Drosophila melanogaster: one gene and its partners. The protein of the gene in region 1 interacts with the protein of each later gene in a pairwise test. Each region holds a gene or a part of one and is shown in the gene's direction. Other genes may lie near its edges.

The links.
Region 2: the proteins of HHEX (region 1) and cher interact in a two-hybrid assay, tested with the Drosophila melanogaster proteins (one large-scale study listed by BioGRID).
Region 3: the proteins of HHEX (region 1) and Eogt interact in a two-hybrid assay, tested with the Drosophila melanogaster proteins (one large-scale study listed by BioGRID).

The regions. Positions count from the first base shown.
Region 1 is NT_033777.3:21,074,843-21,083,554, reverse strand, and holds HHEX (hematopoietically expressed homeobox), read left to right. Parts: upstream 1-2,628; 5' UTR 2,629-2,871; coding exon 2,872-3,361; intron 3,362-6,159; coding exon 6,160-6,641; 3' UTR 6,642-6,693; downstream 6,694-8,712. Other genes in the region: dmrt93B (doublesex-Mab related 93B), read right to left, coding at 6,757-6,957, 7,223-7,744.
Region 2 is NT_033777.3:17,121,404-17,128,613, reverse strand, and holds the start of cher (cheerio), read left to right. Parts: upstream 1-3,224; 5' UTR 3,225-3,375; coding exon 3,376-3,401; intron 3,402-3,827; exon of another isoform or gene 3,828-3,855; coding exon of another isoform or gene 3,856-4,125; exon of another isoform or gene 4,126-4,137; intron 4,138-5,931; exon of another isoform or gene 5,932-6,201; coding exon of another isoform or gene 6,202-6,216; intron 6,217-6,526; exon of another isoform or gene 6,527-6,835; coding exon of another isoform or gene 6,836-7,021; exon of another isoform or gene 7,022-7,037; intron 7,038-7,210. Other genes in the region: CG31265 (uncharacterized protein), read right to left, coding at 1-368; CG31269 (uncharacterized protein), read right to left, coding at 523-618, 758-1,483; CG17477 (uncharacterized protein), read left to right, coding at 1,684-2,487; CG45079 (uncharacterized protein), read right to left, coding at 3,856-4,125; CG42779 (uncharacterized protein), read right to left, coding at 6,836-7,021. UniProt on the Drosophila melanogaster protein: Involved in the germline ring canal formation. May tether actin microfilament within the ovarian ring canal to the cell membrane. Contributes to actin microfilaments organization.
Region 3 is NT_033779.5:2,378,146-2,384,559, forward strand, and holds Eogt (EGF-domain O-GlcNAc transferase), read left to right. Parts: upstream 1-2,951; 5' UTR 2,952-3,188; coding exon 3,189-4,151; intron 4,152-4,203; coding exon 4,204-4,415; intron 4,416-4,471; coding exon 4,472-4,859; 3' UTR 4,860-4,928; downstream 4,929-6,414. Other genes in the region: Atxn7 (ataxin 7), read left to right, coding at 1-130, 191-2,032; PIG-Wa (phosphatidylinositol glycan anchor biosynthesis class W a), read left to right, coding at 5,154-5,898, 5,952-6,414. UniProt on the Drosophila melanogaster protein: Catalyzes the transfer of a single N-acetylglucosamine from UDP-GlcNAc to a serine or threonine residue in extracellular proteins resulting in their modification with a beta-linked N-acetylglucosamine (O-GlcNAc).

The DNA.
Region 1 (8,712 bases):
ACGATCTTGTAACCCGTAGTGCTTTTTCAAACCAAAAATAACTGAAAGATGAATCCAAAACTGAGAACTCAATGTGTGCATGCCTAGTTATGTCTCAAATTGTAGTTGAATTAATTTATTTTGCATTTTAACTGTTGTTTTTCTTTAAATGGAATTTAAATCAAAGCAAGCAAGCAAGCAAATACTCAAAGAAACTCAAACTCTTAACTCTCAAACAATGCGAAGCAAAGCAGACCTTGAATAACTTCTTGCGAAGCCTATAAATAGTTATAAAATAAAGCTAACGATAACTTAAATTAAACTCTATATATATTATTATGTATGTACACTATATGCAAAGGATGATCAGAAAGGAGAGCCGATAGAGAGAGAGATAAGTGAATCAAATGCAATAAGAGGTCAATGATGAAATGATGCTTATTAATTACTCGCAGCCAACGTAGTGCTATATACAAATATTTATTCATTTGCATAAATAAAAGAATGAAGATAAATAAATATGATAATGTTCGAATCAAACGCAACTTCATGGAGAACAAGTCAAGTGAAAATATGTATATATATATATATATATATATATATATATGTATTGAAACCTACAGCTTGCGAGGCGATCGAATAAAGTTATAAATGTAAAATGAAGTTGGAAACAATATCGACATCTTGTCATCGAAACACATGCCCATTGGAGGGGATTACAAATTCAGCCGGTTCTTTCTTTGCTGTTATTAATGCGTGCCACAATTATTTATGCCCAATTTCGAAGTCATTTCAAACCGTTTGTCTCCTGATAATTGCTAATAATTTAGCCTCACTTGACGACCATAAGCCCCCCAGGCCATGGCTTCTTATCGAGCAGTAGGCCTCGTCAATGTCTCGAATTGGTCGCATTTAGTTATCGCATAGCACCGAAAAACGATTTTATTTTTATCACCATTCACCATTCATTATTAACTATTCATTATTATGTTATAATTTGTTTCTGTAAAGTACAAAATACTTTTTGAATGGTCATTACTTACCATTGAGAGCTTCCTTCTGACCAACCATCAGACCCCCGAATACTCTATTCGAACCATTCATGTTGATAAATTTGAATACTCACCTTGTGATATGTCACAAAATGGCCGTCAGTTGGGTTTTTCGGGTGCAAAACGTTATATCGATGGGATTTTGTCGGGGATCACACAACTGACTATCAGTTAGCAGAGCAACAAGTGTCTGCTCATGATGAAGCGTCGAAGTGATATGTCCGGGGATTACAAGTGCACTCGGTAGCATGTTGTATGGGCTTCCTTTCCTTCATATCTTGGAAAGCAGGCTTTGCATAAATTAGTTTCCTAAATGTTTTAATCTCTTTTTCAGTCAAGGTGCTTTCCATTAAGGTATATCAATTATTATGCGAACAGAAACATAAAATATAATATATGTATGATGTTCAAAGAGTTATTTTTAAAATTTTGATGTCATAAAATTTTAATCACCAATCGATTGACTGTAGTTTACTGCCCCTTTTCAACGAAGAACCCCCGAAAATTCTATTTGCAATTCATTAAATCACTTTTCAGCGAATCATATCAAAAGAAATAGGTTTATTGCCAAATATCACATGAATTTGAGTCATTGTCATATGTAGTGAAGTCATACAGTTTCGATTGAACTCCTGCCAATTTAAAGTAGTCACCATTTAGCAAAATCACAAAACTTGAAGAACTTTTAACTCTTTACTTTCTACTCATCGTGTGAACCGAAGACATGATAACATCCTTTCCACCAGCGGAAACTAAAGATTTTCATTGTTCCCGAAACTCGTCGAGGCCCAAAACTTATCTCGAAGGTACCAATTTCTGGGGCGACCTGAAAAACAACATCAAAGGGGTATCTATCAGTAACAATAACAACAATTAAAGGCATTTATGGGCTGTGCGTTTTCCATTTTATCACCCGGCCCAAGCCGAAATCAAAAGTAATCCATCATCTGAGAGGCTTTACGAGGAGCCCGAGTACAACTGATAAGACACCCCGAAACACCTATCCATGCCCCAGGTATACAGACGCATATATTGTTCCCAAAGAGCAGAGAGGGACGGCACCATGGCCGAAATCATAACACAAACTCGATTACTCAATCAAAGCGATGGCTCTCTGATGGTGTTGGTAGGGGGTAGGGTGGGGGGTGCCTTTTGGGGCAATTTTAATTTGTTTACAACAACAATCAACAGAGTAAAATAGCCAAACAGTAGCTGAGAGCTGAAACCAGGTAACGATACCGATAAGGGGTGATTAACAATTACTCGATCAAACGCACCGACCCGCCGAGTGGGAGGCGTTCTGGGGGAGGGTGGTTGGGTGGTTGGGTGGTGGGTTCGATGGGTTGGCAGCTCAATAAGCGGGCGAGCAGGGACTGTGATTTATACAACGATCGCCGATTGGGTGTCCAACCGCGTACCGATGTCGAGCTGTCGCCGCCTGCAATTGGAAATTGGAATATGGGTATTGGGTATTGGGAATAGGAATCGAGTGGAGTGGAGTGGAGTGCCATCGAGGCAGTGGAGCGCCTAACCAACCACCACTCGCTTATCAATCGATGGCCGGTAGCTCGGCACTATCTCCCATGCGCGGCATATCTACATACCGCTCTATTATTGTTAATATTGATATCTACCCATTAGCACAACATTATAGGTACAATCTATTATATTCTGTGAAATCAGATTTGGTACAATTTATAGCGCCCATGGGCTCTGCGACGGCTCCTACAGCTGGTGGCCATTAGTTCATCGCCTGCGGCCGACGCAGTCGCTTCGATCGCTCCGGACCCAATCAATCGGTATCTACAGTTCGTTACTACCGCTCTCAGAATCCACCAATATGGATATCGCCACCAAGTCCAGCAAGGCCGCCTTCTCCATTGAGAATATCTTGGAGCAGAAGAGCTCCTCGCATCGATCTCAATCGCGCAGAGGCTCCTCTCAAAGTCCCGTGGCGGTAACAGCAGGCATAGCTACTCCACACGCACTGGCCATGCCCAAGGCATCCTTGGCCACTGGATCATCCTCCGCGGCGCCTACACCCTCTCCATCGTCCGCCACCAACATCTACGATCTATCCCGCGAGGCAGCTGCCGCCCAGTATGCCATGAAGAGTATGGACTCCAGTGCTGTCCTGGCTCCCACTTCGCTGCGCTTCAATCCCATCTACCCGGATCCCGCCTCGCTCTTCTACCAGCAGGTGCTGCAGCTCCAGAAGAATCCCTCGCTCTTCATGCCCCACTTCCAGGCGGCCGCTGTTGCCGCCGCAGCCGCTGTTCAGCCAACAGCCTATTGTGATCAATACAGTCCATTTACCATGGACTGCGAAGGTGAGTACTTCAGAATACCTACTTAGTGGGGTTAACATGTATTTTAGTTGGGTGTTGAATGTCCTAAAAGATAAAGATTCATTTTCAAGATAATTGCTTAATTTTTGTGGTAATTTATGATAAATCATTCACTAAAATAAGGGTGCATGAGGAGAAGACATTACAAATTTATTATAAAGTTATGGTATTTCCACAGAGCTATAGAAAAGGTATAGAAATGAAATATTAAATTATATGCAATCTAATCTCAGCAAATTCAAAAGATTGTAAAGCAGTTATAAGGCCAAGAAGTATAGTATATTTATTCGACATTATGAATGAAGACAATACAGCATTTCTTTATTAAAAAAAATTCTAGAATAAGATCAAAATTATTCAATTATTCGAGCTGTATACATACATGCAAACGCAGTTGAAACCCTTAGGTCAAGTTATTGACAAGCTCATAAAATAATTGACTAATATATTAATTAATGCGGTTTTGAGAAATCTATTAGCCCAATGATGTCTATCAACAATTTAGTCGTTTGACCTCATTAGCATATTTCATCATACTATCAAATGACCGGAAATGAGTCACCTGAATATGAATGAATAAGCGCTACAATTATCAATTAAACACTAAAATGCAGATAAAGGCAGAAGCATTCTCAGAGTATGATATGTTAAATCCCTATTCTTAAATTCTTATTCATGAAGCTTGGAACCATAGTTTCTATTAGACTTTCTCACAGTTTTTAGCAAAGACTAGGATTGATTCGACACTACCAAGTTCAAGTCATTGAACCTACCCATGCTGACACCTTAATCTCGCTCATCAAGTTGACACATGGAAATTGATCGCCATGGGAAAGGTGTTGCCTGAAATCCCCATTTAAATACCAAATATCTAAGCTAGCCTAAGTCCGAAGTGCCCGGACCACCGAATATTACAATGGGGATCCCACACAAAATGGGCCATAAACATGATTAATGTGTGTGTGTTGTGGTGCAGTTGGGTATTTGTCAAAGTCAAGTGTTGGCGCCAATGCCACTCGAAATCACATTTTCCCCGCCCCAAAAACTGCATTTCCCGGTTGGTTTTCTGGGCGGTGGTGTAACGGTAGATTAGCCCTAGCAATGCTGATAAAGTCAAAGTCCCGAATTCCATCCCCTCGCAGTACAAATGCCCCATTCAGATCGGAAAATATTTCGGTGGCTTATCAGAAGTGACAAATATTTGAAATTCAGGTGAGAGACAGCAGAAACTATATCTATGGATATTTAAGTGACAGTTAGTTTTCATTGAAAGGCATTGAGCTGTTGATTTGGGAAAATCGAGCTGCTGCGAATTAGACGGACTGTGAGAAATCATACTCATTTAAACCTTTGGATAACACACAATTATCACAGGCAGTATCTTTCGATATAATTGTAGTGAAATAGGAAGGAATCAATACAACATTATAGTGGAATGGAATATCTAAGTGCACCTTTCTGTTCCCAATATGCCCGTCTTGAGGATATATCTATGATGAGTCCAACTGAGTTAGGATCATACTACGCCTCAAAAAAAAAAAAGGAGTATTGATTAGCTTGCTCTATGCCATACTGATCACACAATGCAGATAGGAGTATCGTCGTGTATAGGGCACTTCAACTGTACTGCTATCCCGATTTCCGATTTGTTTGGCTTATCTAAACAAAAATGCTATTAGAGGCGATTAATAGGCGCTGTCCATCATCTTATAGCCACGATTGCCATTTGATTACGATAAGCCCGTCCGTTCCCGACACTCGTTCCACCTGGACAAGGGGCAAATGGTTAGGGGCGGAGGCGGGTGTGGTGGTGTTGGCGACAAGTACCTGATATGATATTATTCCTTCAATCGGACACGCACATTATAAAATAATAACAAATCCAATTTTCAGCGATTAAATGCCGCTGGGAAGAAGATAAGGGTGCTCTGCGGCCTTATCACTCCCGAATACGCCACTTAATAAAAATAAACATGAATAAGTCTATTTGTAACGATTTAAATTATGGCATCTGCAATCGGATGTTATTTATTTAATGGCATTTGGCCATTTCCAAGGGTTCTTGGCCAGATCGCCTCACCAATGAGGTAACTGGGTCCCCAAATATCAGCTTAGTTCAGCGATGGAGCACACTCCAAATATGCGCCAAGTGCGAATTTCCGTTACCTTAACTAAAAAAAAAAAAAGAGGCCACCTTCCTTATCACATAGGTGTATGTACATAGGTGCAGATAGGTTCGCAATCGGATTGCCGTTCGGGTGCCAATTGATTTCGCCCAATTGCTACGAAATCTCGGCGTACAGTCGATCCATTTCGCAATGGCCACCATTCGCAAGTCGTCATCCAGTTACAAGTGGGCGTTGACATATTCTCCGATACTGATACAACACCCATACACTTGTACCACTCGCAATTGTTGTGTCCGATTACTTTGATAAGAGCGGGTGGGCGGAGATAGGGAAAACCGGGCCAATGGAGCCACCAATCACAATCCAATGATTGCGCCACTTTATATCGGGCAGATGGTTCAAAATCGTTATTCAAAGAAATCGATTGTCCTCGACTTTTTCATGGCAGCTTTTGATAAACTCTGAAGTGGGTCTATAATGTCATTAGTTCTTTAATTAAGATCGTATTAACAATGAAATATTTAGTTTAAATATTTCTCATCTGATATAGGAAACCCTTGTTCACAAAGTGAAGTGTTAACAATAAGTTAGTTCTGTAACCTCTTCAGCAATTGTAATCTAAAACAAACTGTCTTCCTTTTTAATCCATAGGATTCCCCAATCCTGCCTCCGCTGCAGCCGCCCTCTACTGCAATGCCTATCCGGCGGCCAGCTTCTACATGTCGAACTTCGGCGTGAAGCGAAAAGGCGGCCAGATCAGATTCACCTCCCAGCAGACCAAAAATCTCGAGGCTCGCTTCGCCAGCTCCAAGTACCTGTCGCCGGAGGAACGGCGTCATCTGGCCCTCCAACTCAAGCTGACCGACCGCCAGGTGAAGACCTGGTTTCAGAACCGGCGCGCCAAGTGGCGACGAGCCAATCTCAGCAAGCGCAGTGCATCCGCCCAAGGACCCATAGCAGGCGCTGCCGTGGGATCACCCTCCAGCGCCTCGAGCAGCAGTGTTCCCGTGTTGAATCTTGGCAGCGGAAGCAGGTGTGGCCAACAAAGCGACGAGGAGGATCGGATGTATCTGTCCGAGGACGATGAGGACGACGACGAAGACGAAGGCGAGGCGGATGAGACGCCCAAGTGAAGCTAGAGGATGGCCCATTGACTCATAAGTTAGTTTAGCTTGTAGTTAGGATAAATAAATTTATTTTATTAGAACTATAGTTATGCGAGTTAGTAAGTACTAGATGGGTGGTCTCCTAGTGGAACTGGTAGCTGTCCAAGCAGGCGCAATTGGGCAAGGTGCATCTTGGCGCCAGATTGGAGAGGTGACCCATGGTCACCGGAAAGGATAGCGGCACAAACCACTTGGGGTACGCACAAATGGCCGCTGCCGCCGCCGCTGATGCACTGCCTCCAAAGACCGGCGGCTTTAGCTCCACCACCGATTTGCTCTGGTACTGAAAGGTAAGATTTTGTATGTACTTAAATAAATATTTCATTAGGTACTTCCTACTTCCATGGACCACGCAAATCGTGACTTGATTGAATTCTGGAAGCGGAAATACAGACCGTTGAACTTAAGTAAAAACACAAAACACCTGTTACAGATTTGCTGTATACTATAGAATATAATACTATAGAAATAACCGGTATATTCACTTAAGTACACTTATAACTAAAAGGTACTTTATACAATTTGCACTATGCAGTTAGGTCGCTTACCTGATCTGTTATCACGGGCCTAAAGGCGCTGCTCCTGGGCGGCGCGGGCTGTGGCATAGTGGTCAACATGCCCGGCTCCTGGCTGGGCAACTGGTTGCTGGTGACATCCACTGGCGAGGACTTGCCAGTGGGCGAGACATTCTCAATGGCCCGAATCAGATCGAGATCGCAGCGCTTGAGGACCAACTCCAGGACAGATCGCTTACGCTGCGGAAAGAGCTGGGCAAGCATGTCAATGGCCGTTTGGGAGACGTTATCTCTTCGGGGAGCACTGAGATCCTGCGCCACCGCCGGCGATTCGCTGTACTCCTCCTCCCTCTGCTTCAAATGCTGCTGCTCCACCTCCGAAATGGTCTTCTCCACCTGATCATCCTCCCGCTTGGCACGCGGCGAACTAGGCTGCGTGACGGTCAGACCGAAGATGTTGCCTGGCGGCAGTGCATCGATGGAACGACCCGTCTTGTTGGCCACCAGCCGCATGGCAATCGCATCCTCCACCGCCTGCTGGCGCTTCAGGGCAACCTGAAAGCCCACAAATGGAAATTAATATGCGACAAGTGAACATCTTGGTCCGTTTGCTGCTGTTTGACTTAACCGCAAACAAAGGCCACAGCAATTCCTTGGGGTATCACCCACATCCTAGCACATCCTAGTACATCCTAGCACATCCTAGCTCATCCACAGCGATCTAATGAAATGCGAGACGTAGACACACTTGTGCAAACAGTTTCGGTAAGCGGATATTTTGGTCGATTTGTTCCTACGCCTTGACAACTTTCCATCATCACCATCATCGTCATCGTCTAAAGGGGAGGACTGGTTGTCCTTGTTCTGCTTGGAGTTGTTCCCCGTATTCCGTTTCATTGGCTGTTTGACTTGGCACTGGAGTGGGGTGTGTCCATCGGCTATTTGTGTTTCGAATTGAGAACTTGGCCAGCGCTTAATCTAAACACAATATAAATGGCATTGCTAACTATTTTTCCAAGAAAGCTGGCAATTGAATTCAGTTACACAGATTGATTGAATCCGGATGGGGTGGCTTACATATTATGTGCCAGATACAAATAGCTGGGAAAACTATCCACCTTCTATGTTGAATTGTTGAATTATTCTTGAATTGAGTTGATTCTGAACTTGTGTGTTGGAATTACAGCGACGGCAGGCTGGAATATAATCTGCATTCCAATATAATATATGGACATAATAATCTATATTCTATTGCATTTGCTACTATAATAAACCGTGTTATTGAAAGTCTCCTAAGATGTTTGGATCAGCTATATATTCCGCGCACACCATTTTTGAACGACTTAAGTTAAACGTGCTATATGTTGGAAAGGTATTTCCTATTAACAGTTCTTTTACATCATTTGTAAAAAACAATTTTCGCAGAAATCCAAAATAATTAATGTTTCCAAAATGTTATTCAAAGTCACAAAACACGATATAAGAAAATGTCGGAGTTTTCGGTGCTATTGTTAATTTAAGCT
Region 2 (7,210 bases), 4.0 Mb from region 1:
TCGTTATGCATGTAAGGCTGGTCGTACATACAGTGTTTGTGGATCTCGGCGGTGTAGTAGATCGCTCCGGGCTCTGCCCACTTATTGGTGCCCGTGATCACATTGACCAGGGCGGGAATGAAATTTTCCACGCAGTGTCCAGCAGTTATGATCCAGTTTTCGTTTAGGATGGCACCACCGCAATTATGGGAGCCCACTATGGGTTGCAGGGACACCTGGTATGGAGCAAATCCGATCTCAGCCTCCTCGCCACCCTTTATCCTGCCAGATTGACCCGCAGGAAAGGGGCCAACTATGCGCTTTGATTCACAGGGATTTGGGGGCTTCACCGCTAGGAGAATTAAAAGGCTTAGACGGAGCAGCTTCATCTCGAAGGTTTGACCAAGTACTGAACACTAAACGTTAACTTCTTCGCTATCAAAACTTTATTAACTGGCCCCTGCTTATCGAGGCAATTTTATCGTTGCCTTATAAATTAGTATTTTTTATGGTGCACTATGATAGTCACAGTAAACGGAACCTTTAGGATTGGTTGGAGCTGAACCCAGTGCACTTTGAATTCCCACTCATGACATTGCGTATCCAATCACGATAGAAATAAACACTGGCATGAACGTCCTGAAAACAGAAAAAAAATTCTGATTCGGTTCTTAGAATCTTTATGTTTTCCAAGAGGCATGGAAAAGTATTCTTATGAAATTCACCTACAAAATTCTGCTGTTCATTGCCTTAACAAAAACGATTTCCGATCACTTACCGGAACTCCTGTTGCGCAGGGCCATCCCCAGTTGACCAGTCCCACCAGGTAACCATTGCTGACCAGAGGTCCACCGGAATCTCCATGGCAGGCACCTTCTCCCAGCCGCGAAAAAGTGCAAATGTGACCCACATCACAATCTTCATCGTTGCTCAGCAGGGCTTTGCACTCGCGATGGGGAACGTACTGAAGGTATAGAACCTGCAAATCGATGGGACTGGTGCCCCAGAGGACCGTGGATCCCCAACCAGTGAGGATTACTTCATCACCCGGCTGCATGGGCACCAAGGGCAACGGGATCGGCTGAGTGCGCTCGTCCCAAGCAATTGGCTCAACTAATTCCAACAGGGCAATATCATTGTGCATCTCCGGATTATCGTAGTTACAATGGATATGAATGGCTTTTAGGAAATACCTGCCTCCTGGTTGGTTATACTTATTAGTGCCCGTGACGACAACCAGCCATGGAATAAAGGCATTTTCGACACAGTGAGCGGCTGTCAGGACGAAGGTCTCGTTTATTATGGCACCACCACAGGAGTGGGCACCGGAGATTCCCTGCAAGGATATCTGATAGGGAGCGAAGCCATCCTCAGCTGCCTGACCACCGATGATCCGTTGATCCTTGTAAAACCGACCATCCGTTGAGTTTCCCTTGATTCGTATGGCTGTTATGGATACGAGTCCCGAAAGACCCAACAAAATAAGTAAAACCACTGCCGACATCTTGTTACTGGCCCTGGTCAGCTAATGAAGTTTTCAGTCGTACTTGCTGCCTTCTTGACCATTTATCGGAATCAGATAAAAAATCAGTTTATGGCGCGATTGTTGGAACCTTTGGTCAGGCCATTTTGACTTTCGTATAGTTCAATCAAAATCGCGAAGGGTAAAACCAGACTAGCTCAGTCCGCGATTGCATTTCAGCCATGTCGCTTGCACGTTTCCTATTTTATATTCTCGTGTTCAGTTCACTCTACTGTGACTTATTGGCATTGGAGCACTTCATTGTGGGTGGCCAGAATGCAGCTGAAGGAGATGCCCCCTACCAGGTGTCGCTCCAAACTCTTTTGGGTAGTCACCTATGCGGTGGTGCCATCATATCGGACCGATGGATAATTACGGCTGGTCACTGTGTCAAAGGATACCCGACTAGCAGACTTCAAGTGGCCACTGGTACAATTCGCTATGCGGAACCAGGAGCTGTTTATTACCCAGACGCCATCTACCTGCACTGCAACTATGACAGTCCCAAGTACCAGAATGATATTGGCCTGCTCCACCTGAACGAGAGCATTACCTTTAACGCACTAACTCAGGCGGTTGAACTACCCACATCCCCTTTTCCAAGAGGAGCTTCGGAGCTGGTTTTCACCGGATGGGGATCTCAGTCAGCGGCGGGGTCGTTGCCATCGCAGTTGCAGCGTGTCCAGCAGCAACACCTCAACTCCCCGGCTTGCGAGTCCATGATGTCTGCCTACGAGGATCTGGAACTGGGACCTTGCCATATTTGTGCTTATCGTCAGGCAAATATTGGAGCCTGCCACGGAGATTCTGGAGGTCCTCTAGTTCACCAGGGCACCCTGGTGGGCATACTCAACTTCTTTGTACCCTGCGCCCAGGGTGTGCCTGATATATTCATGAATATAATGTACTACCGCGACTGGATGCGACAAACGATGAGTGGCAATGGCAAATGTGCACAGGTCAACCAGCAGACAATAGATGGATAAAAACATTTGAACTCATTAAAGAACCTCAATTCATAATGTAATTCCTTAATGCTGTAAATAATTTATTAATTTATTAAGCCATTTAAACATAAGATAATTCCCAAACTGCCAGCCTTGTATCAAATATCACCAAACATGCACCAAAACCGCATAAAACCCGCACCAAAGCCGCACACAAATCGCCACCAAGCCGCCAAGAAGCCGCTAACAAATCGCGTGCAAGTCGAACTGAAAACGAAGGGCAGGATGTATCCTCTACGGGTCACTCGTAAGGGATCATTCTGTACGGGGCATCCTCTATTTTTTTAATTACTTGGGTTGCTGTAGTTCACTTGTTTTTTGGCGGGAGTGGTGAATTATTTTAATGTTTCTGGAGGCAAGTGATATTCTTGGCCCACAGCCAGGAGTCCGTTCAGTCGGACAGCCGGAATGTCTTAGTGATTCAGCCACCCGCCGTTTTCTGATTTATTTCGGAAGAAGAGAAGTGTCGCACTGGTCACACGTGTCGTCCTGATCTAATTGGTAGCAGGTAGACCCAGACAGACGTGGTCTTAGTCATGATTTGAGTTGTGAGAAAAATTTCGACACAAATCGCTCACGGCGCATGGAAATTCTGAAAATATTTCTATCGGCACTCGCTGTTCAGATGGGGGAAAAACAACCGGGAAAACTCTCAGTTGTGGGCTGTATCTTGGCATTTTGAAAAAGATTTTCAGTTGCTGTATTGACTTGGACGTGTGCGGTGCGGGCCTCGAATTTTCTTGGAATACGCGGCGTATACGCAATCCGTGAGCTATATGTAGACGCGTGTCTTGCTCATATTTTTATATATACAGCAATATATAACAAGTGAAATTTCGCAACTTGTGCAAAGTCGAGGAAAAAATTATGTTAAATCCAGTGAAAATGCCAAAGTATGTGAAATAATTTTCCCAATTAAGGCAAAACGACTTTGCAATGTATTTTACATTCTTACCAAGAGCGATGAATATTGCGCTAAAAGTATACGGCCAAAAAAAAACCGTTCGAATAAATATATTACCAAAAATAAAATAGAATATTTTGTGTTATGTGAATTTCAGTTTGAAATATTGCGTACAAGGCGTTGCCATTTCGTGATATATTCAGACGATGAAAGGCCTCTTTGCTGGATCCCAAAGAAAGAGCCATTAAATGTTCAGTTGTGAGAGCGTAAAGTGCATTTATCTGTCGGGCACCAGATGTTAATAGAGCCTCTGATCTTTATTTAGCCTCAATCGCATGCTCTGCCGCACCTGGGGTATCTGCGGGGTATAGTACCTAAGGGGACCCGGCATATGTATTTCCCAAATGATTTATTTAACTAGGCGTACACGTTTAAGTGATTTTTTAATAGAAGACATAAACCTTTTGTGCACCCTTTAGCAGATTTGTGCAGGGTCCTTGGGTTTTTCCATCACATGGAGACCTGGAAGTTGACGAAGCAACAGGTGCAGATGTTGTAGTATCCTCCCAGTAGGGATACGATGTGGTAGAATCTCCGTACGGAACCCAAGATGATGAGTATGGGTCCCAATAATATCCGGATGACGTAGTTGAGTCAGAGCAATAGCAGCCTGCCAAGACGCAAAACAACGCAAAGATCGTTAAGAACCTCATTTTAGCCGGCATTAATACAAACTAATAAACGATAGATACAATTTTATCAATTATATACTTCTTATCTTATTTATTTTCAATTGTTTAAAGAAATAATACCTTAAAACAGTTGGGCAAATGCCAAATATTCAATAAAAAGCCTAATATTTAACTAATATTTATTTTTCATATTCTATTGCCAAATTAATCACCAGCTGTTGTATCTAAAAATTTTGAAATTTTCAGAAGACTTTGTATGATTCATTTGAAAGCCCACTGTGCCATTGTTTATTATATTCCAATTATTTTCTAAATATCCAAGTAACAGTGCCGAATCGGGAAAAGCTAAATAAAGCGTTGGCACGTGAAATTACTTGACGGCAACGGGGCGTATGCGCAACAAGAGATTTTAACAGCCCAAGCAGCTGTTGAATTAATTCAAACGCCATGAATAATGATGGTCAATAAAAATAAAATTTGTTTAAAAGTACACGCGCTGCGCGTTCACACGGAAATTAAATAGGTTTTGAGAAATGTTAGTACAGAGTTGTTATGAATGGTGTTTCATATCTAAGCATAATTAGATCTTAAAATTCTTACTGGTTTTTTGAAGTTCATAAAAATGGTGACTATAGTTTAGTTTTCTTAATTTTATTTTACGGATTGATTTTGGTAGATCACTTAAGACTTCCTAAAACCCCTTTTAAGCGCCATGATAGCACTGAAATCAGATAATCAGAATAAAATTGTTTGATATATTTAGCGTGCTCTTGCTGCGTTTTATCTTCAAACGAGCATAAACATTCAAGCCAAATAAAATCGAGGAATTTATGACAGCTGATTTGGCCGGAGCTAGTTAGTCATCTCACAAGAATAAACAACATACAACTGTACATATGCTTTTCATTTAAGAGTTCTACGGGTTCTACGATCCCCCGATTTGGGATTCTTTATCAGCGCCTCGTGAGTCAAATGACGGGGAAATGCGGAATGTACTTGGGGCGACCGCCAGAGATGGCCAAAAGCCAATCATTTTTGCAGGAGGCACTTTCAATTGTGACCAGCAGCAGAGAAGATTGAAGCAAAAACATAAAACACAAAAGACGGCAACCAGTTCTATGAAAAGAATAACAACAAAATCAGCTGCGCGTCGAAAATCACATTTGTGATGAGTTGCAGGGGGTGGGGGGGGATTGCGGGGCAAGCGGTGGGTGGGGACTGGGGGGTCTCATGTGGTAGCGTCGCCAAAAACCTGCCAAACAGAGTCAAGAGTGCAGTCGACGTCGACTGCGACTGCGACTGCGACGCCGAGTCAACGTCACACGCAATACCAAAAACACAACACAAAACATGAAGCGAGATAAATATTGAACAAATTATGTATTGAAGACCTTTGACAGACGAGGATGCACTTTTAGAAACTTGTGAGAAATGTATTCATTTATTTAATATGATCTGAAAAAAATAAAAATACAAACCACAATTTTATATTTTATACTATAACTATGATATACATAATAATATTGTATTCTAATTTCATTTCCAACTTGAAATAATAATAGAAAAAATCGAAGGCAAACCTTTGTTATCTGTCAACCAGTAGGAGTGTGTAGAAAGTATCTTTTGGAATTATAACCTATAAGCGTTACCTAATATTTGCTTAGGGAGTTACTTAAGATGATCCCCGTCTGTATGATTTATCTGAGAAAATAATAATAAAGAAATTGAGCAATAAGCGGCGAGCATTTGGCTGCATAAAAACTTTGAGCAAGGAGGCGCACACAACTCAGTCGAGTTGAGAAATTGTCGCGGCCAGTACGAGTACGTGTAGCAAAGAACCCGAAAGCAACGCGCGCATTTCGTGCACACATTTTCAAAACCAAAAGAAAGAAATTCTGAAATTTGTTTACGAAAAAAAACGAAGGATTTGCCAGTCGTGTTTGTGTTGTGTTTTTTTAGAGAGAAACGTGCTCGCCACGCCAGGAATTGTGTAATTAGCGGGCCATCAAGTGTTCAGTATTAAGCACCCCCACTAAAGTATTACAACTCGAGATCATTCGACAGCGATCCCTATCAACCAACAGAAAAACCATCGATATGGCGTCCAGAAAAGTGAGTTTTTTTTTTTGTTGTTTTGTGGGCCTAGGGTGGCCCTTATCCGATCGGCAAACGTTGCATTTCACCCACACGATTTTCCACGATATATTCACGACGAAAATGGAGGACATGTGGTTCTCATTACCTGTTCATAAAAACTAAATATTTGTCAATTTATTTTTAGTCCAATGGGCGGTCGAAATTTGCTCACTTGCGCCTTCGCTGTGCAAATGTTGGGTGTAATTTTAGTTTCAAATAAATTCAAATTAATTAAAATGGAAGTGCAAATTTATTTAGCATTTCATTGGCGGCGTTCGTCGACGCTGATTCATGCGATTCCCCAGCGATGCAAGTGGCGCCTCACGTATTCATCGTCACTTGGCCGCCGTTTTTGGCCCGATTTGAAATGTTTATTTCCATATAAGGGTATCCTCAGCCAGACGCACTTGTTCCATATGGCCAGCTGTCCCCGAGCAGCTCCACTTCCTTGTGGAATGTAGTGAAGGTTTCGAGTCCAAAATATACGATTGTTATACGCATTGAACCTTGTAGAAGTGCTATTTAGGTGTTTGAAGTTTTTGGGATTGTTCTATATTTTTATTTTACTCAAAAATATGAATATTTTGAAGCCATATTATTTATAAAAGAAATATAATTTCTTGGCGTCAGCTGATTCACATGGAGTTGCTGTAGTTGTTGCCGGTATTTCAGTTGTACTTGCAGAACCCCAATCAATGTTCTCCGTTGTTGTTGTTGTTGTTGCGGCAATTGCAACAGCTACCATGGTGCACAAAAGGAGGAGGATGGCAAAAAACTTCATGTTGCTAACTTTAAATCGAAACTGATATTTCACTCAACATATTTTGCCCTTATATACGAATAAGACTTCAGAACAATTGTTAACACAAGTGCTTGCAAGATTTGATGGATGAAATGGTGGATGGAGTGATGGATTAGGACAGTTGAGTAAATACTCTAATTTGCCTTTCCAAAAATAAATGTACACGTG
Region 3 (6,414 bases), on another chromosome or scaffold:
ATCCTGCAGCTTACCGCCCACTCCCACGTTGGGAGCGGCCTCCAGCGAGGTGGCGATGGGGGTCAACTATTCACCTGCCCAGCTTCAGACGGATGCGGAAAAGCTGCCCGAGCTGCAGCCAAAGAAAAAGGTATTTCATATAATTGTGACTATAATAACTCAATGATACAATTACCGAAATCCTCTTCAGTTGAAGGGCTCCAGCGATCATCGAATAAAAGCGGAAAAGGAGAAGAACAAAGATAAGTCTCTGGTGAATTCCTACGAGCAGCAGCAAGTGCTCAGCGAACTGGACCAGGCAGTGTCTTCCATCACGGGAGCGGTTTCCGCCGAGCAGGTGGCGCCCGATGAGGAGGAACTGCCCTTGCCCAACACCTCCGACGAGAACTCCATTTCGCAGACGCTCGACGAAATGCTGGACAGCAAGCTGATCAACGAGATTCTGAATAACTTCGATGAGAGCGCTCTGGACACATCGCAACAGCAGTCACAACAGCAAGCGCAGAATGGATCGCTATCGCATCCCGCACAGGCCACTAAAAGGCTGCGCTTTGAGGACGGAACCATTGGCGAGGATTACGCCGTGTACCAGCAGCAGGCGGTTCAGCAGGTTTATGGCGAGGAAGAGCATCAGCAGGAGCTGACCACCATCGATGCCATGCAGTTGCAGCAACTGATTTACCAGCAGCAGCAGATGCTCGAGCAGCAGCAACTGCAAGAGCAGCAGCAACAGCAGCAGCAGGATCAGAAGCTTCAGGATCACGAGCAGCAGCGCCAGTTCAGCGTCTACAACGTGCCGTCTCTGACGGATGAGGCAATGGTCAATCCACAGCAACAGCAGCTGGAGGAGCACATGATCCTGCCCAGTATTATATACGAGATCACCGAGTCGAATCCCGTTTCCATGCTGGAGCAGAAGGTCTTAGCCGAATTCCTAACCAACGCGGGCTACGAAAATGTGGACGTGAATGTCGTGCAATCGGGCGGCATACAAACCAACTTGAGTTCTGGAACGGAGGCAAACCAACTGGCGGATGAACTGGCCGACTTTGAGTTCAGTAAACTGGAGACTGTTAGCGACACCGTAAAGACTGTTAAGCTGGAGGCCAAGGCCGCCAGCCAGCCACCCACAACAAATCCTCAAATCAATCACCATCCATCGCTGGCCAATGCCAAATACCACGAGGACAGCTACTTTAACGTGATGCTGTACTCCGGAGCGCCTCGTCCCTTGGCCATGAACACGTTTGGCATGGTGAAGTTGCCCCAGGGCCTGGGCGTCACCTTCCGCAAGAATCTGTTGACCACGCGGAAGGCGAACAACAATTTGCTATCCCTGTCGGGAGGTAATCACCTGGGCGTGGTCGGTCAGCTGGCCCGCACACCGCCGCCGCCCTCGCCAGCGTTAAGCAACGGTCTGCCGGGTAAGAATCCCGCCTCGGGCAGAACCATTTACGCTCAGCGATCGAATGTCATTGCACAAGATCGCCTGAGGTGCAATAAGAGGGCGCTGGTAGGAGGAAAAGCTGGTGGTGGATCAAGCGGATCGCCGGGAGTCATGACAGCCAAGCGTTTGAATGAACTGCTAATGGGAAAGGCGAAGAAGGAGGAGAAGCCACCACCGGATAGCGAGGATGGCGGCGAGCAGCCGACGAAGGACAAGGAACGCGACAAGGAGGAGGACAACAAGCTGACCTTCAGTTTCTACGAGAAACGCCGCCGACTGTTGGCCGGCAAGCTGGAGCAGCTGCAGCCCCTCGGCCGCCCCAGCTTCACCCTGCCGCTCCAGAGCAACCACAACGCCAGCCAAAGTCAGAGCCACTCGCCACAGCAGCTCCTCAAAAAGCAGCTGCTGCGCACCTTGTCCGACAGCAGCAGCAACATGAACATCAGCAACATGAACAACATCAGCAATTTGAACAGCAGCAACACTCCCAGCGCCAACAGCAATCCTCCCTGGAAGGGGAACAGTTCCAATCCGGGAGGCAACTCCACTCCAACCAGCAGCGACTTGATGCGCGTCTTCGTCTGATCTGAACCGATGGGGAAGGTCAGATGTGCGGACACGCATCCCTAGTTATATGTTTATACAATACCATGCTATTATGTGCAGCCTCTTCTCTAATGCTAAATTAAATTGTAATAATTTTTTAAATTAATTCTTCATTTTTTAAAAGTGATAATTATCTTTTAGTTATCTATTAGTTGATTGTATGTAATTCTTTGTTTATTCTAATTAATTTAACAATTATACATATTATTTTTCGTGGCTAAGCATTATGCTAGGTACTCGTAAATCATTATTTATACACGCTGTAAACTTTTTAAATACAAGAGCATGCCTAAGTTCAATTATACTCCAGACCCAGCGTTGCCTCATTGTGTATATCTTCCTCCAAACGAGGAGCAAGTTATGATTATGTTCCATGTGTTGAGAACAGTAACCGGCGAGCGAAGGAAACCAGCTTAGCCTGCAACGGCATAGTCGACTGTTCTGATGGATCCCATGAGCTGGCACAGGTGTGTGGAAGTGGAAGATAGATTTCGAGGCAACGGCACTGGGTAAGGAACATTGCAGTGGCAAAGGGTAAGGAACAGTGCAGTGGCTGTGGTTAGCCGAAATGTGGGATCCGCCGACCATGTCGGTCAGAAATAACATAAATTGTCCGGAATAGTGTGAAGCCATTCAAAAATTCGTATTAAAATAACGGTCTAAATGGTTTACGAACACGCTAACAATATCTATCGAAGCTTAAAACCTTATAATCCCTACGGTATGCGGCACAACTATAGATATCCTTAAAACAAATAATCACTAAAACGATTAAATAAGTGCCGAATAAATAAGTTACAATTTAAAAGAATATTTTATTGTGTTAAAATTAATTAAGTAATTGTAGTTGTATCTAAGTGCATTACCTATTTAGGTGTCGCGGAGTGTGCGTTTTCTAAGCTGGCGAACGGCCACACTGGCGGACAGGTATTTCTTTCGCGAACAATTAACATGGACAATAACATTATCCCGCTCATAATCGTCTTCTAGCCGCTTAAGGCCAGGTGAGATCATCATCATCGCTGGCCGTGAAATGCACCTGAAGATGCTGCCGTGGAAAGCGTGAGAAGTCGCAGGGAAATCGCTGGAAAGTCGCACGCAACGAAGTACTTAAGTAGATCAAACGGAACCCAAGATGCCAATCCTGCCAATACTCATTGGGATACTACACTTGTCCCTGGCGGAGGACGCCAAGCACCTCGATGGGTTCTCCCTGCCCAGCCTGCCGTCGGAACACCTCATCCGGTACCTGAACACCTTTCCCAAGCTGAAACAACAGCTGCCCACGAATCTCACCGGCAAGGGCACCATTTCATCCGCCTGCTGGGGCCACGAGCGGGACTGCACGCCAGCTGGCCGCTTCCAGACGCCCCAGTGCCCTGGGGAACATACCGGCTGGGCCAGGAGCAAGGAGGCACAGGTTAGGACCTTCTACAACCAGGCCGACTTCGGGTACATCCAGGAGCAGCTCTCCCAACTGACGCCGCAATGCGTGCCAACCTATTTGGGCGATTCCTCGCTAGAGTGCACGCACTACCTGCGCTTTTGTCGTGGGCGGAATCTTCTCTTCGACTTTCGGGGCTTGGAGCAGCGGGAAGAGCGCATTCGTTACCATATGGATGTGCTGGGACCAGGACAGCTGCTGGGGCACTGCAAGTTGAATCGGACTCGACTGTCGGGCGAAATGGAGCACATTGGATCGGCTCTGCAGTCCTGGGGTCCGGAGTTGCGTAATTTTGATGTCTTACCACATCCCGTTCTGGAGAGCGGTCTCTGCGATGTGGTGGTGAATACGCCCACTTTCATCATGAAAATCGATGCCACGTACAACATGTATCATCATTTCTGCGACTTCTTCAACCTGTATGCCTCGCTCTTTGTCAACCAGTCGCATCCGGCGGCCTTCAACACGGATGTGCAGATACTTATATGGGAGACCTATCCGTACGATTCGCCCTTCAGGGACACATTTAAGGCCTTCTCGCAACGACCAGTATGGACACTCAGCGATGTGGAGGGCAAGCGGGTATGCTTCAAGAACGTTGTGCTGCCGCTGCTGCCCAGGATGATCTTTGGCTTATTCTACAATACACCCATAGTAAGTGGAGGCAAACGTGTGTCGCGATGTTTCTAAGGTGTTCTTCTTTTAGATCCAAGGCTGCTCGAATAGTGGACTCTTCCGCGCCTTCTCCGAGTTCATTCTGCACCGCCTGCAGATTCCCTACAAGCCGCCACAGCAAAAGATCAGAATAACATATCTATCGCGTCGCACAAAGTACCGGCAAGTGCTGAATGAAGACGAGCTGCTGGCCCCCCTGGAGGCCAACGATAAGTACGATGTACAGCGTGTTTCCTATGAAAGGTAAGAAATGTTTAAATACACTCCTTGGGCTTCAGTTTAATGAGTTCCCCCCGCAGGCTCCCCTTTACCAACCAGTTGGCCATCACACGGAACACGGACATACTCATCGGCATGCATGGCGCTGGCCTGACGCACTTGCTCTTCCTGCCCAACTGGGCCTGCATTTTTGAGCTGTACAACTGCGAGGATCCGAATTGCTACAAGGACTTGGCTCGCCTACGTGGCGTTCGCTACCGCACTTGGGAGCAGCGGGACTTGGTGTACCCACAGGACGAGGGTCATCATCCCGAGGGCGGCGCACACGCCAAGTTTACCAATTATAGCTTTGATGTGAAGGAATTTGTGCATCTTGTCGATGGAGCAGCCGAGGAAATTCTTTCCCACAAGGAATTCCCCCGACGGGCATCAGAAAATCCCTCCAAAACGCAGCGCAACGAGCTGTAGATTGCCTCAATTGTGATTAAATGCATTTATTTTGCTTTATGCCAGACCCAAAATAAATCGGTATTATACAAAAGGATTGCATTTTCAATTTGAATTTATTTAAGTGTGACCAAATGATTTCGCTTCTGTTCCGCTAACAGATAAGAGCTGACTGCTGCATAATCGGCTATTTTATCGGCTAACTTACATTACTATTTGTTTTTGTTTACATTTTTCAACCGGCTTTAAAAGTTCGTAATAATTTATAGTTTTATGCGTTAGCTTAAACCCGAGGTCTAATAAAAATTTAACATAATGGAGGCCGAGGTGGCCAGCTTCGTAGAGCACGAACTTAATGATGTGGATTTGAAATCCTGGAGATCTATCAAGGAAAGTTTAGATAGCTTTCTAACCATTCTGCCCACGATATTGGGATTTGTTCTTTCCCGCCTGCTCTGCGGACACCTGCCGATGCTATCCACGAGGAGATTTCTCCTGGAGTTGTTTCTGATCGGATTACCCACCGTGATATTGATTACAGTGGGGAGTGCCTATAGCTACACATACTCCCTGGTGGTTTCCTTAGCTGTTCTGGTCTATATTTATGGAAATGTCGCTCCCAATCCTCCAAACTTCGTGTATAAGGTCGGTAAGAGACCCATAGTCTTCACTCTGCTGAGAGCAACTGCCTACAGTGGAACCTGTGCCGCCATTCTGGCTGTGGATTTCCCTTCGTATCCTACGGATTACCGGAAAAGCCGGACTTTCGGAGCAGCTGTCATGGATATGGGAATTGGGCTTTTTGTGGTGACCATGGGATTGGTTTCACATCGAGCACGGAGCATCACTGATCTTAAGAAACTAAGGAGATCTGTTATTCCGTTGCTGGTCCTAGGGCTTGCTCGCACCATTGTCATCACTTTGATCGACTATCACCAGGATGAGACGGAATACGGCCGCCATTTGAATGCCTTCTTCATACTGGGATTCACGAAATTGCTGGGCAGCTGCTATAGTCTGTTGGTAAACTCTGATGAACAGCTCCTGGCACTTGCAATAGGTAGGTCCAGAAAAAATAATAATGCAATAAATTTTAATTTCCTACGATTTTAGGTTTGCTATTCCTTCACGAAGTGGTGCTCCAACTGGGACTCTCCGAATTCGTCATGTCTTCTGCACCCCATGAGGGGTTTTTCAGTGCCAATCGGGAAGGCTTAAGTTCCCTACACGGATGTGTGGCTCTCTATTTGCTCAGCATTTACTTTGCCAAGTGGTATACTTCCCGTGATAGCCTGACTTATCAAGGACTAATAAGAAAGTTAAAGAGTATTCTTTTCGTGGCCATTCTCTGTTGGAAATTGGTTTTTATAAGTTCTTTTCTAACGGGCATAGCACGTGTAACTTTTAGTTTTGGCTATGTAATCTGGATTTTCGCTGTCTCCCTAAGCCTAATTGTGATCTACGCGTTCTTCTTTGAGCTGAAACTCGTACGGCCAGATATTTGTTCTAAAAAGTCAATTAGAGATGACGGGCAAAAGAACATATCCTTGCCCACCTTTGTTGAAAGTCTGAACAT